3 linked regions of the Ovis aries genome follow. The protein of the gene in region 1 purifies or fractionates together with the protein of each later gene. This does not show direct contact. Links are inferred from orthologs where the notes say so. Each region holds a gene or a part of one and is shown in the gene's direction. Other genes may lie near its edges.

What was found.
Region 2: the proteins of JOSD2 (region 1) and AHCYL1 purify together in Homo sapiens (affinity purification with mass spectrometry; 4 studies listed by BioGRID and IntAct, counting the BioPlex papers as one, with this or other methods). This does not show direct contact. The link is inferred for Ovis aries from reciprocal best matches to the Homo sapiens genes JOSD2 and AHCYL1.
Region 3: the proteins of JOSD2 (region 1) and AHCYL2 purify together in Homo sapiens (affinity purification with mass spectrometry; 3 studies listed by BioGRID and IntAct, counting the BioPlex papers as one, with this or other methods). This does not show direct contact. The link is inferred for Ovis aries from reciprocal best matches to the Homo sapiens genes JOSD2 and AHCYL2.

What each region holds. Positions count from the first base shown.
Region 1 is NC_056067.1:56,372,126-56,376,496, reverse strand, and holds the start of JOSD2 (josephin-2), read left to right. Parts: upstream 1-1,442; 5' UTR 1,443-1,562; intron 1,563-2,176; exon of another isoform or gene 2,177-2,179; 5' UTR 2,180-2,193; coding exon 2,194-2,339; intron 2,340-3,822; coding exon 3,823-3,948; intron 3,949-4,371. Other genes in the region: ASPDH (aspartate dehydrogenase domain-containing protein), read left to right, coding at 16-236, 306-460, 902-945. UniProt on the Homo sapiens protein: Cleaves 'Lys-63'-linked poly-ubiquitin chains, and with lesser efficiency 'Lys-48'-linked poly-ubiquitin chains (in vitro). May act as a deubiquitinating enzyme.
Region 2 is NC_056054.1:87,291,449-87,295,763, forward strand, and holds the start of AHCYL1 (S-adenosylhomocysteine hydrolase-like protein 1), read left to right. Parts: upstream 1-1,457; 5' UTR 1,458-1,734; coding exon 1,735-1,857; intron 1,858-4,315. UniProt on the Homo sapiens protein: Multifaceted cellular regulator which coordinates several essential cellular functions including regulation of epithelial HCO3(-) and fluid secretion, mRNA processing and DNA replication.
Region 3 is NC_056057.1:94,835,970-94,840,149, forward strand, and holds the start of AHCYL2 (adenosylhomocysteinase 3), read left to right. Parts: upstream 1-1,322; 5' UTR 1,323-1,356; coding exon 1,357-1,719; intron 1,720-4,180. UniProt on the Homo sapiens protein: May regulate the electrogenic sodium/bicarbonate cotransporter SLC4A4 activity and Mg(2+)-sensitivity. On the contrary of its homolog AHCYL1, does not regulate ITPR1 sensitivity to inositol 1,4,5-trisphosphate.

The sequences.
Region 1 (4,371 bases):
AGCTCTCACTTTCAGAGCCTCCGTGTCACCATGGCCACACACCCCGATGGCTTCCGGCTCGAGGGACCCCTGGCTACGATGCGCAGCACGGGGCCTCGCGCTGTGCTCTATGAAGGCCCTGTTCGCGGGCTCTGCCCCCACGCCCCCCGAAACTCCAACACCATGGCGGCCGCTGCCCTGGCCGCCCCCAGCCTGGGCTTCGACCGTGTGATTGGGGTGCTTGTGGCTGACTTCAGGTGAGCGGAGCTGAGTAGGGGTCTGCGCTGGGGCCAGGCCAGCTAGACTGACCACCCTGCTTGCCCTAGCCTCAAGAACGTGCACGTGGTGGATGTGGAGCTGAGCGGACCCCCGGGCCCCACAGGCCAAACCTTCACTGTGCACACGCACAGAGAGAACCCCGCAGAGCCAGGCGCTGTCACCGGCTCTGCCACCGTCACCACCTTCTGGCGCAGCCTCGTGGGTACGGCCAGGCTCCTCCTGGGCACTAGCAGCCCCTCTCTGCAAGCCCCAGGCGGAGCTTGAGTCTCAGGCTTTCTGAGTCTGCAGTTCTGATTCCGTCTCTGTCGACTGATCTTTATTTCTGAGTCTCCTTAACCTTCTTCTCCACGACGTTGTCTTTATAGATCCCTCTCTCTCTCTCTCTCTCCAAGTCTCCTCTCCCAGCCTCTGTGTCCCTGTCTCTTGGGGACTCTAGCACATACGTGAGTCTCTCCACCCGCCAGGTGTCTATCCCTCTTCCTCTAGGTTTTGGCCCCCCTCTCTGGGTCTCTGTTCCCTTCTGAGTCTCAGTCCCTCCCTCTAAGTCTTTCTCCGTCCCCACGGTGGCCTGTTCCTTCTTCCAGGTGTCTGTCTCTCCTCATCTCTCTGTCTTAGCCTTTCATTCCCCGTATCTCCCCCGCAGGGTGCTGCCAGCTCCCCTCCAAGCCGGGGATCCATCTCTGCTGAGAAGCCTCCCCCTTCCCAAGAGGACTTCCTCATCTCATTATTTACCTCCCACCACCACCGACCCACTGCTGCCCTGGCCTCAGTGTCCCCATACATCCCTCTGGTCTCAGTAAACATTGGACGCTCTTCTCCCTGCGTGGTCTGGTTGTCTGATCACTTTCCCTTCCGTGACGTCACGCTGCGTCGTCACGCTAGGCATGACGCCAGCCCAGGGAACGGACGTACAGGGAAGTAACACCCCTCGAAGCTATCGCGAGAGCCTCCTCACTACGTTTCCCAGAAGCTTCCGAGCAGCAGGAGGCGTGGAACTGTGAGGAGAGGACCGATTTAGGGCACATTTCCGGGACTCGTCGAAGGGCCGACGGAAGTTGTAGTCCCGGCTTCTCGGGGCGACAGCGGACTTCCGGGCCACACTGCCCGGACGTTCCGTGAGGAGCTCTCGTTCTCGCCGGAGTCGCCGGGAATCGTAGTCCGGCTCGCGGGGGCCGCCGGGAGCTGTAGTCCGTCCCACCTGCCCAGTCAGCGCGGTGCCGCCCGTCCAGCGCTCTCGGAGCCCGGAGCCGCCGCCCGGGGGGATGCGGGAGCCCCCGGTTTGGGGGAACAGAGAGGCAGGCGGGGTGAGGGGCATTTCCAGGCCGCGGAGCGGGCGAGCGCCATGGTTGGGGTACAGGTCGGGGAGACAGCTCTGTTACTCGGTGTCCGGGGAGAGGGCCCTGTTGCCAGGTGACAAGAGGAGAGAACTCTGTTGGTTGGTGACAGGGGGGAGCCTTCTGTTGCTAGGCGACCAGAAGAGACCCTGTTACCTAGAGACGGGGAGGAGGCTTCTTCTATTGCTAAGTAACCAGAGGAGAGCCTGGTTACCTAGTAGGGGGCGAGGAGGGGTACGAGGAGGCTCCTCTGTTGCTAAGTAACCAGAGAGGAGGCCTGTTAACCTAGGGACAGGGGAGGGGAGTTCTCTGTTGCTAGGTGACCACCACAGGGACCCATTCACTTAGGGATGTGGCGGGGGCCGGGGCGGGGGGAGTGGTCCTCTGTTGCTAAGCGAGAGAAGAGAGAGCTTTTTTCCTAGAAATAGGGAATGGAGGTACTCTGTTGCCAGGAGATCGCCAGAGTCAGGGGCCCCTCAGGCTGCCCGAGCCCCCACTCAATGACGGTGCCCCCGAGGGCCTGCTGGCAGGTTCGGCTTCCAGATCCCAGACTCCTAAGCACCTTCTCCCCCTACCCCTCCAAGCAGGAGCCGAGGACGGCATGTCCCAGGCCCCAGGAGCTCAGCCAAGCCCGCCCTCCGTGTACCACGAACGGCAACGCCTGGAGCTCTGTGCCGTGCATGCCCTCAACAACGTCCTGCAGCAGCAGCTCTTCAGCCAGGAGGCTGCCGATGAGATCTGCAAGAGGTGACCATCACCCACCCCAACCCCTGGAGAAGCAGGGCTCACGGAGGCGGGGACACCCACCTGGGTCTCAGAGCAAAGCAAGGCCCGGGGCAGAGCCCTGCGGCTTTCTGCTGCCCCATCCCCTGCCCTGCTGGACTCCGGGACTCAGAAACCGAGATGTTACCCAGGCATCTACTCACCCCGCTGACCTCAGCCTTTTACCTAGGCCCTCAGCCTCACTCTCTTCCCGCCTCCCAGCTTCTGGTTTATCTCCTTCAGTCCCGGCTACACAGGGCTCCCGCACTGCACCTGCCCTCCCCCACTCCCAGGGCTCCCCCAGCACCCCTGGCAGAAGCCCCAAGGCTCCGCGCCCAGCCTGATAACCAAAACCCTGTGTGCCGTGGCCCCACCCGTCTCTGCAGCTTCGTATCTCACTGCTTGCTTCCAGACAAATTCCCTCTAGTCTCTGAATGAGCCCCACATGGTGCCTCTGGGCCTTTGCACAGGCTGTTCTTTCTGCCTGGCACGGCTCTCTCTTCTTGGCAGCCTGGAGTGTGCCGCCTCACTATTCAGGATTTCAAACATCACTTCTTTGTTATCTCTCTGCCTGAGCTGCTCCTCTCTGGCCCCACTGCCTTCTGGACCCTCCCCTCAGCCTCCAGTCTCTCCCCTCCAGTCAGTCCCCCATGTGATCCTATGCCCCCAGATGACCCTTTCTCCCCATCTCTTGCTCACAGCCCTCCCATGCCTCCACCCCTGCCATCCTCAGGCCAGTCCCAGGCCCTCAGACTGATTATTTTAGAATGTATTCACCCCCTCCCATCATTCAGAACAGGAATCAATCAACTCTTTCATGGCTCGGCCTTGCTGGAGACTCCGAGATGAGTCTACTGTGAGCCCCTGCCCTAAGGGAAGCCAGGGAAACAGATACACAGAGGAAGAATACACAACTTTCCCCCTCTCCCGCCCCTCCCCTTGCCTTGCCCCCCAAAGGCCCGGAGACAGAACAAAGTTGCCTTTGTCTCAAGGAGGCGGGGCCCAGAGACAAGTGGGCTGGGGGACAGCTGGAGAGAAGGCGGGGGGCAGGAGCACAGGAGATGCGCTGGGTCAGGTGGCTGCGAGGAATGGGGTGGGCATGGATCCAGGAAGCCAGCAGGGCCCAGATCCTGCCAGGGACAGCTGGGGGCTGGGGTTCTCTCCTGGGGTGACGGGGGTGCCAGGGACGGCTGGGGCAGGGGCAGTGCTGGGTGTAGAAGGAGCCCCCAGGAGGGGTGAGATTGGAAGCTGGTGAGGGTCCAGGAGGAGGAGGGCAAGGCCTGAGCAGAACTGTGGGTGGGGGACAGGAGGAACATGGCTGGGGGTGATGAGTCGGCAAAGGGTTGAAGAGAGGGAAGAATCCATGGCTGGATGACTCATGGATCCTGGGACGCTTTGGCTCTGTGAGGGAGGGGGATGCCTTCTCAGGAACCCCCAACTCAGGAGGCCCTGATCACCTCCCACTCAGGTTGGCCCCAGACTCCCGGCTGAACCCCCATCGCAGCCTCCTGGGCACCGGCAACTATGACGTCAACGTGATCATGGCTGCCCTGCAGGGGCAGGGCCTGGCTGCCGTGTGGTGGGACCGAAGGAGGTGCGGGCCGTAATGCTTCGTCAGGCATGCTGAGCTGGGCGCGGTGGGTGTGGTGGGACGGTGGCCGGTGGGGGACGAAGCAGAGGGAGGGGACGGGTGGATGGGAAGGAGGAAGGAAGGGGCAGATGGGTGGAGGGTTTGCAGCGATGGATGACGGGTGGCTGGCCCACTGAGGGCTCGGGAGGTGATAAAGGGACGGTCAGGGTGTGAGCTGATGGATGGATGATTGGCAGATTGATGGGTAAGTGGATGGTGAATGGGTAGGATGGGTGATGGGCTATATGAATGGATGGGTGGTTGAGTGAGTGATAGATAAAGGATGGATCATTGGTATGTGTGACGTGCTCAGTCACTCAGCCGTGTCCAACTCTGACCCCATGGACTGTAGCCCGCCAGGCTCCTCTGTTCATGGAATGTTCCAGG
Region 2 (4,315 bases), on another chromosome or scaffold:
CTCCCCAACAGGGCTGGCATTGCAGAGAAGAGCAGGAAGGAGGCGAGAAGAGGGAAACAGGGAATTGAGGGAAGTAGGAGAAAGGCCCACCAGGGGAGCCAGTGCCCAGAGCCACAGAGGTACAGCCTGCAGTCTTGCTCCGGGTGTCCCCGCAGGGCCAGCAGGGCAGACCAGCAATCCGAAGCCGTGTTCCCAGGGCACCTTTCACATCACTTACTATACCTATGGTGCCTCCCAGGGTTGCACAATCAGGCACCTCTGGGACAGAAGGAAGATGGCTAAAGTGGGGCCAGTACCACAGGAGGTGAAGGGGCCCTAGGGAGAGCACAGCCCTGCTCTGGAGTGTGCCAGGCCAGCAGGGAGCAGGCAGGTGTGAAGGGTGCCACCCTAGGATTGCTGGGGCCTCTGGGATATGCGTGCACTGCACACAAATTTAAAACTCAAACAGCTCAAGTTCACTCCTTATCTCAGCAGTCTCTCCACCTGACCTGCTTCTCCTCCTCGCGTTCATCACCACCCACCCACAGCTCACCAGGCTCCGCAGGATCTTGCTCTCACAGCGGCTCTCATTCCACCCAGCCCTGCCCCTATGCCCCACCCACACTGAAATCTTTACAGTTCTCCTAATATGCCAGGGTGCCTCAGGGCCCTGCCTTTTCTCAGGCTATTCCTTCAGCCTGAGATACCTTCTCTGGCTTATCCAGCTGCTTATCTGTCAAGAGTCAGCTGGAGCAGCATCTTCTGTATAAAGCCTTTCCTGCTCACCCTCCCATCCTCCACCCACCATCACTCCCAGGTAGGGATCGGCACTTCACTTGTCTCTGTGGTCCCAGCATCTAGTACTGCTCTGAGCACATCTTCAGCAGTCATGGTGTGCCTGTGTCAGCTGCTCAGTAGTGCCTGACACTTTGTGACTCCATGGACTGTAGCCCACCAGGCTCCTCCGTCCATGGGATTCTCCAAGCAAGAATGCTGGAGTGGGTAGCTATTTCCTTCTCCAGGGAATCTTCCCAACCCAGGGATCGAACCAGGGTCTCCTGCATTGCAGGCAGATTCTTTACCATCTGAGCCACCAGAGAAGCCCAGCATTCACTGTAGATTTTATGAATTTAAAAAAAATGAATGCACATGGAGTGTAATTTAGGGGGGTAGACAGAAGAATGAATTTGAGTAAGCAATCCCAGCCCACCTGTGGTGGGCCACCATGCTTGTGGTGACAGCATCTCCTAGTTCACCTCTCTCTCCTCAGACTGCTCCTTTCTAGAGCATGCCCCCCCTCTGATTTCTACACCCTTTGGAGACTACTTCCCTCCACCACACACAAGTGTACCTGTCCTTGGGTCCCTGCTGTCCTCAAACCTGGGGTCCCCATAGCATCTGCCGTGTCTGTGTGGGTGGTGCAGTTCAGGGGAGTAAGCCCTGACTCACCCACCTGACTCAGCATAGAGGCTCAGTGCAGAGAGCTGGGTGGGTAGGCTGGTAGCCAGACCCAGGGCCAGGTTGGGTAGGATGTTTATTTGTTTCATGCATAAGCAGTCACAGCCATGGCCTTGTGGGGCCCTCTGGGGGAGGGAGGAGGGAGCGTGCAACGGCTCTCACCAGCGTCATGTCATCACACTCTAACTGGGTGAATGCTTTGATCTGCAGCCCATACCCAGCGGGTGGGATGGCAACTGCCCATGTCCTCTGCAGAGGGCTGGTTTCCAGGAATGCCCTTGGTGGCTCTCGCCTGACATGAGCCACCTAGGCCTACTGCCTTTCCACCCGGGCAAGGCGTGCTGGGTCCCCACCTTCAGTGCAAGCACTCTGACTCGCCTCAGCCAGCCTCCCCAGCCTCCCTTTGGGCCGGACACTCGGGTAAGTGAAGTCACGTCTGTTGATCTTCCTGTGGCTCAGACTGCAAAGTTACTGCTTTCTCTAGGTCTGGCCCTGTTGTCACCATTGTCCACAGCAGGAGCAGGCAATTCTGTGAGTCTAGTATCAGAGAAAACCTGTTACTTTGGTTCAGGCGGAATAAAAGAGAGGCTGAACTCCAGTCCCCAGCCAGCTCTTTAGCAGCCTGAACATTAACATGCATGGCAGAGCTGGGGCTGACAGACAAAGCCAAAAGACACCTATGCTTTTTTCTTTTTTTTTTTTTCAAATAAGCTAACCTAAGTCACATGCTTTCCTATTCATGGGATATGGAGTTTTCACCTCTGTTCTAGCTGGCTCTGTCTCTGTTCTCTAAGGAGACAGCTCTGATCCCTGGACGCTGCCAACAGTTTGGGCAAACTCACACGATGAAAGCTACTTCAGGCCATATAGGCAAAGAGTCCTGGGTGGGCAGGCATAGCTCCTGGCCCCAGCTGAGAAATAAGAAAAAGTGCCAGTCTGGCACCCTTATGGATCAATCTCGTATTCTGCTCCCCAATCTCTTTCTCTCTTCTGCTACACGAATACTTCTGAGAGGGAAGTCGAGGGGCCTGAAAGAGTGGGCATAGGCGGGATTTCCCTGGTGGTCCAGTGGTTAAGACTCTGTGCTGTCACTGTAGGGGGCTTGAGTTTGATTCCTACTCAGGGAACTAAGATCCTACAGGCGGGATGGCGCAGCCGGAAAGAAAAAAATGTATTTACACCATCTGAAACTAACAGAACATTGTAAATCAACTACATTTGAATTTAAATTTTTTTTAATTAAAAAGAGTGGGCAGAGGAGAGAACCCTAAAATGAAGATTTGCAGAAGTGCCTCCTTCCAGACACTTCCACAACCTATTTCAAACAGGCAGCCTTGCAGAAGTGCCTCCTTCCAGACACTTCCACAACCTATTTCAAACAGGCAGCCTCAAGGGGCTGGGCGGCTGGAACATGGGATTCTCTGACTAAGACTTCTGAGGCCCCAGAAGCAAGCATTTCACACTCTTCCCAACATTTTGTAAACCAGTGGGGAAAACGTTACTTCAAGCCACAACTTCTTTCTTCAGAGTTGAGCTGCCGGGTCTCTGAGGTGGGAGGAAGAAGGTGGGATGGGAGGAATTTAGGAAAAGGGCCCTGGGAAGTCTTGAACACTCAGCAGAGTGGAGAGGGATCTGGCTTCCCAGTCAATCATAGAGGGAAGGGTGAGGCGGAGGGATGGGAAGGGAGGAACAGGAGGAAGGGGGATGAGACAGGCAATGGACTAGGGAGCTTTGTGGGGTGGTGGGGCTAATGAGAAGTCCCGGGTGACGAGATGGCCAAAATAACTTTTCAGAACATTTCAGAAATGTGACTTCAAATTGTTTGTGATGTGATGTAACCTCTCCCTTGTGGCCCACAAAACTTCATTAAAAGTTCTGCTACATGTTACAGCATTATTTTTGTGGTTGTTTTGGAATAGGGGTGGGAGTTGAAAGAAGGGACTGTTATCCACATTTGAATTGACAAGCAGGAACTAAAGAAACAGCCACAAAGACCAGAATAGTGACTAAAACTTCAGACGAGGCAGAAAACTAGAGCCAGAGGTAACCTTGAAAATTTCTGTCCCCCGAGTAATTCACAGAAATCGGGGAGGGGGGAGCATTGGACTTTCCACAGGACGTGGAAGTTTGAGCCAATGTCATTTGAATGTCAAAGGACAAGCAACCTCAGCTGACACTGCCTCACCAGCTGGACTAAGCCTTTAGAAACAAAAAACGTGTTACACACATCTGTACTATCCACGGCCTTGGCACAGGGGTAGCACATAGCCAGGCCCAGTAAAAGCATGTGAATAGTTCATGAATGCCCTAGTGCCTCCCTGGAAGCTGGCAGAGCCAAACGCTTGGGGGTGGGGGGATGGAGGGACACGTCGACTTCTCTTCCCCTCCCCCACCCCTTTTCCTCTCCCACCCTCTTAACCATCTTTAGCCCTATCCCATCAGCTCCGCGACATGAAGAACCTGTAAACAAGCAAGGCCCAGCGGAGACGGTGGTGGAGGAGGTCACAAAGTGTTGCGCAGAAACCACACTGCTCTGGTTCTGTTCTGCCCACTCTTACGGTGTCAAAGAGGCAAACGCTGCCTCTTGGGAAGGAGATTCTGGTTCAAAGAGCCTGACCATGGGGCAGTGAGCTAGTGGGCTACCTAGGGCGCCGGAAGCTTCCTAGGACTGGCTGTAGGCTGTGTTGTGTAAGGCTTTGGTACTCGTTCCCAAGCATCCCTACACCCTTCTGAGGCCTCCCCTGGCATCCCGCAGTCCAAAGGCCCTCCAGCACCGCGGCAACCTTGCAGAAACCGCGGGCTGCTCGCAAGGTAATGGCGCCACCTGGCGGCATACAAGGGTGCGGCTCACCCCTGGAGCTTCCCCCTTCACCCGCGA
Region 3 (4,180 bases), on another chromosome or scaffold:
AAGTATGTGTACCCTAGACACCTTGGAACCAGAAGGTTGAGATTCCCCAGACATCCAGACATCATCCAACCAATCAGAATAGTCACACATTGGCAGCCCTCACCCCAAATTTTGTTTGACATCTGGGTTTGGGTTTTCTTGAGCACTAGCTCCCTCTTGTGCCTGGCACTCTGTAATAAACCTTTCTGTGCTCCCAACTCTGACATTTTGGTTTATTTTACCTCTTTGTGCCACTGGCATGCAAACTTAGGTTGGACATCTATGAGAATTCACAGAATGGAAATTCCCTGGTGGTTGGGTGGTTAGGACTCACTACTTTCACTGCTGAAGGCCCCGGGTTCAATTCCTGAACTAAGATCCTACAAGCTGAATGGAGGGGCAAAGAGAAAAAGGAGAAGAAAGAAAAAGAGAATTAACAGGGCAAAAGAATTAAGCTTAAGGCAACGTGTAATTCTTTTGTCGTTGTTGTTTAGTCGTTAAGTGGTGTCTGACTCTTTAGCCTAAAAATTTCCTACCTAGTAATATCGAACTTCTATTTTTTTGGACTGATAGTAAACTCTAAGCCCAGAATGTTCTAGAAATCACCACAGCACATAAGGTCTTATTTTATTCTTTCTAAAAACAAAGCCATTAAAGTTCAGAAAGGTGTTAGGGTTCCCTTTCACTGAGGCAGAAAAATCAAGTCACTTTCAGCCTGAGGCCTGCGCTCTCCCCACGTGATGCCGCTTTTCCTTTAAACGCCTGCTTACGTGATCTTAGACTAGCACACGGGGAGGAAATGTACACTGTCAGGGTAGAGAGCCCTTTCTTCCCCCACCTTCGCAGGCGGAGGGTTTCTAGCGTTGTCTCCTCGGAAGCCCCAGTTCCTCTGGAGACTCTTTCTCATGTCCTTTGTCGTGTCACCCGTTCTCACTCCTTTCCGTTAGTCGCCTGGACTAGAGCTCCACTAGTACTACAGAATCCCGCTAGCCGGAAGGCGACAGGGACTACAATTCCCAGGGGGCATCACGGCCCCGCCCTCGGCAGCGCGCAGTGCTGGTCGGGGGCTGAGGTCCCACGGTGTTGTCGCCGCGTGCGGCCCTGAACAAGCGCACTACAGGTTCCGTGGCACCACGCGCGGGAGCTAGCCGGGTCGGGCGGGGCGGGTCGGGTTGCGCGGGGCGGGGCGGGGCGGGGCGGGGTGGGGAGGGAGAGGCCGGGCTGGCTGGAGAGTTGGCGGGCGGGCAGAGGAAGGGGGTGGGAGCGGAGGCGATGGAGGGGAGGAGTGGGGGAATGGGGGAGGGAAGGGGAAGGGAGGCGGGAGGCGGGGCCGAGCCGGAGCTAGAGTCTGAGCCGGCGGTTGCAGTGGAGGCGGTGATGTCGGTGCAGGTCGTGTCAGCAGCTGCTGCCGCGAAGGTGCCTGAGGTGGAGCTGAAGGACCTGAGCCCCTCCGAGGCGGAGCCGCAGCTGGGACTGAGCACAGCGGCCGGGAGCGCCATGGCCCCCCCAGCGGGCGGCGGGGACCCTGAAGCTCCAGCTCCGGCCGCGGAGCGGCCCCCGGCCCCCGGTCCGGGATCCGGGCCCGCAGCGGCTCTCAGCCCGGCCGCTGGGAAAGTGCCTCAGGCGTCGGCCATGAAGCGGAGCGACCCTCATCACCAGCATCAGAGGCACCGCGACGGCGGCGAAGCCCTGGTCAGCCCCGACGGCACCGTCACCGAGGCGCCGCGCACAGTCAAGAAGGTATTGGGGCCGGGCTGCCTCTTTCGGAGAGGGAGGGAGGTGGGGAACCGCAGATCCTCTCGGCGCGGCGGCACCACTCTCCACGCCCTCCCTTCTGATGCTGGAAGTAGAGACATCTCTTTTCCCCTTAAACCCGCTCTCTCAGAGATGCCCCCACACGGGCCCCAGTGCTGGGGGGCGAAGACTCCAGGTGGTACGGCCGTACTTCGCTGGGAATAACATGGAGGTAGCGCCCTTCCTTACTACTTGGAATAGGCTGGGAGAGGAGAGGCACCTCGTATTACACCTTTCTGTACTCCTAACCTACTCCCGTGTGTATTTTCCAGACTGTCGGGGAGAAGACCCCGATGGTGTAGAAAAGCTTTACTGCTTCTGAGAGTTCACCCAGTAATAAGGGTTGAAAGAGCTTTTCCGTTTGGACATCTTTTCTGTAAGGAGTAGTTACCTCGCGTTGAGATCCTCAGTTGTCTGGTTTCTGTACAGAAGATGACTCTCTGCCTTTCTGTGGCCAGGCGCTTCCATCTAGCAGTACTGATGCCGTGCCCTTCATTCCACATACTGCAAGATCCTTAGGTTTTCTCTGAAAGTAGAAGGGTAATAGGGTAATGGAGAGATTCACTCCACTCTTCTCTTTGAGGTTTGTCCTCTCAGCTCAGTAGTTGATCACCAGGATTGTTAGACTGTGTATAAAGAGAATGATTGTTTTTATTGGTTCTTTTATTATGGTCCGTAAGTATTAGGAAGAAATGCTTCTACTTTTGGGAAAGGCGATCACTGTCAGATTTTGCTAAGCTGCCAGCTTCTTTCAGATAGTTTTGAAGAGGCAGTAGTCTCAGAACACCAAGGAGTAGATAGATGTGCCTGAATGTTTGATATTCTCAGTATTATCCTTGCAATGGCTGTCTGTGGTGTCTGTCCTCTCAGAAAGCAAATCAGTACAGAGAAAAATGGCAAATATTGCAAAAACAAGTTGTGGATTATCGCTATAATTTCTGAGGTAGTATGCGAACATAGTGATATACTGGGTTTTTCGTTTTGTGAATGATTTATCAGAAAAGCAAGAAAGTGATGTGAAATCTGCACTGTGCAGGACTCAGCTGAGTTGAAACCTTGTATCCAGCCTAACTTTTGATTGTAATAGCCCCCTTATTAAGGTGTAAATCAGAAAACTCTTGCATTCTAATTACTAAAATATAGTGATAAGGTCAGAAGCAAGACTAAAGGAATTTGTTTAATGATGCTTTAGGACAGTGTCTTTCTTGTTTGCATAATGAAACTCCTCTGGGCAGAATTATTGGGGGAAAGAGACGTAGCATGGGCACCATGGCTTCCCTTGTGGCTCAGCTGGTAAAGAATCTGCCTGTAATGCGGGAGACCCTGATACAATTCCTGGGTCGGGAAGATACCATGGAGAAGGGATAGGCTTCCCACTCCAGTATTCTTGGGCGTCCCTGGTGGCTCAGCCGGTAAAGAATACACTTGTGATGCGGAAGACTTGGGTTCAATCCCTGGGCTGGGAAGATCCCCCAGAGAAGAAAACAGCTACCCACCCCAGTATCTTGGCCTGGAGAATTCCATGGACTATACAGTCCATGGGGTCGCAAAGAGATGGACATAACTGAGTGACTTTAATACATTCAAACACACATGAGCACCAAAGCTGGTAGTACCTAGATATGAGTCTGGAAATCTGAAACATTTGTAATAGTTGAGTTGCTTTATAACTTTGGCCAAATTCTGTGATTAAGGGTCTTTTTGTGTAAAATGTACAGATTAAGTCTCGAGTATAATAGTGTTCAACAAATTGCCTTTATTTATTTGACCTTGCCATGCAGCTTGTGAGATCTTTAGTTTACCAGGAATTGAATGCTGGGTCCTAGCAGTGAAAGCTCAGAGTTCTAACCACTGGACTGTCAAGGAGTTCCCCAACAAATGGCCTCTAGAACATGGGATTTACCGTCCAGCAGACCTGGGTTTGAATCCTAGTACCCCTATGAGCTAGCTTTTGGGTAATTTCTAAATTCTCTGAGTCTTAGTTGTCTCTTTTACAAAATGAGGTTGAAGCTTAGAAATATTTGTAGAGGACTTACTGTTGAACTTGGCACATATAATAAGGGCTTAAATTATTGCCATTGATAAGAGTTGATTTTATTTTTTTCTTCCTCCAATCATGGTTTAAGTGCACCACCATGGCTTCCTTTAAAAGATATATACAATTCAATGGCTTCTATGTAAAGCAGTGAACAACACGACAGGCCAGCATATCAGCCTGTTTTTCCTAATGCTAGATGTGTTTCTTGACCATTTTCCTTGTTGCTGAACCACCTTCTTCCTGTTTTTCCAGCATTAAAATGTGGGTCCCATGATTCTAGATTTACTCAGCAGCCTCAAGGCTGTGAGAGACAGGGCTGAGCTTGCCTTACAATGTTAATTGCAACCAAAAAACAGCTCCTCCACTGGA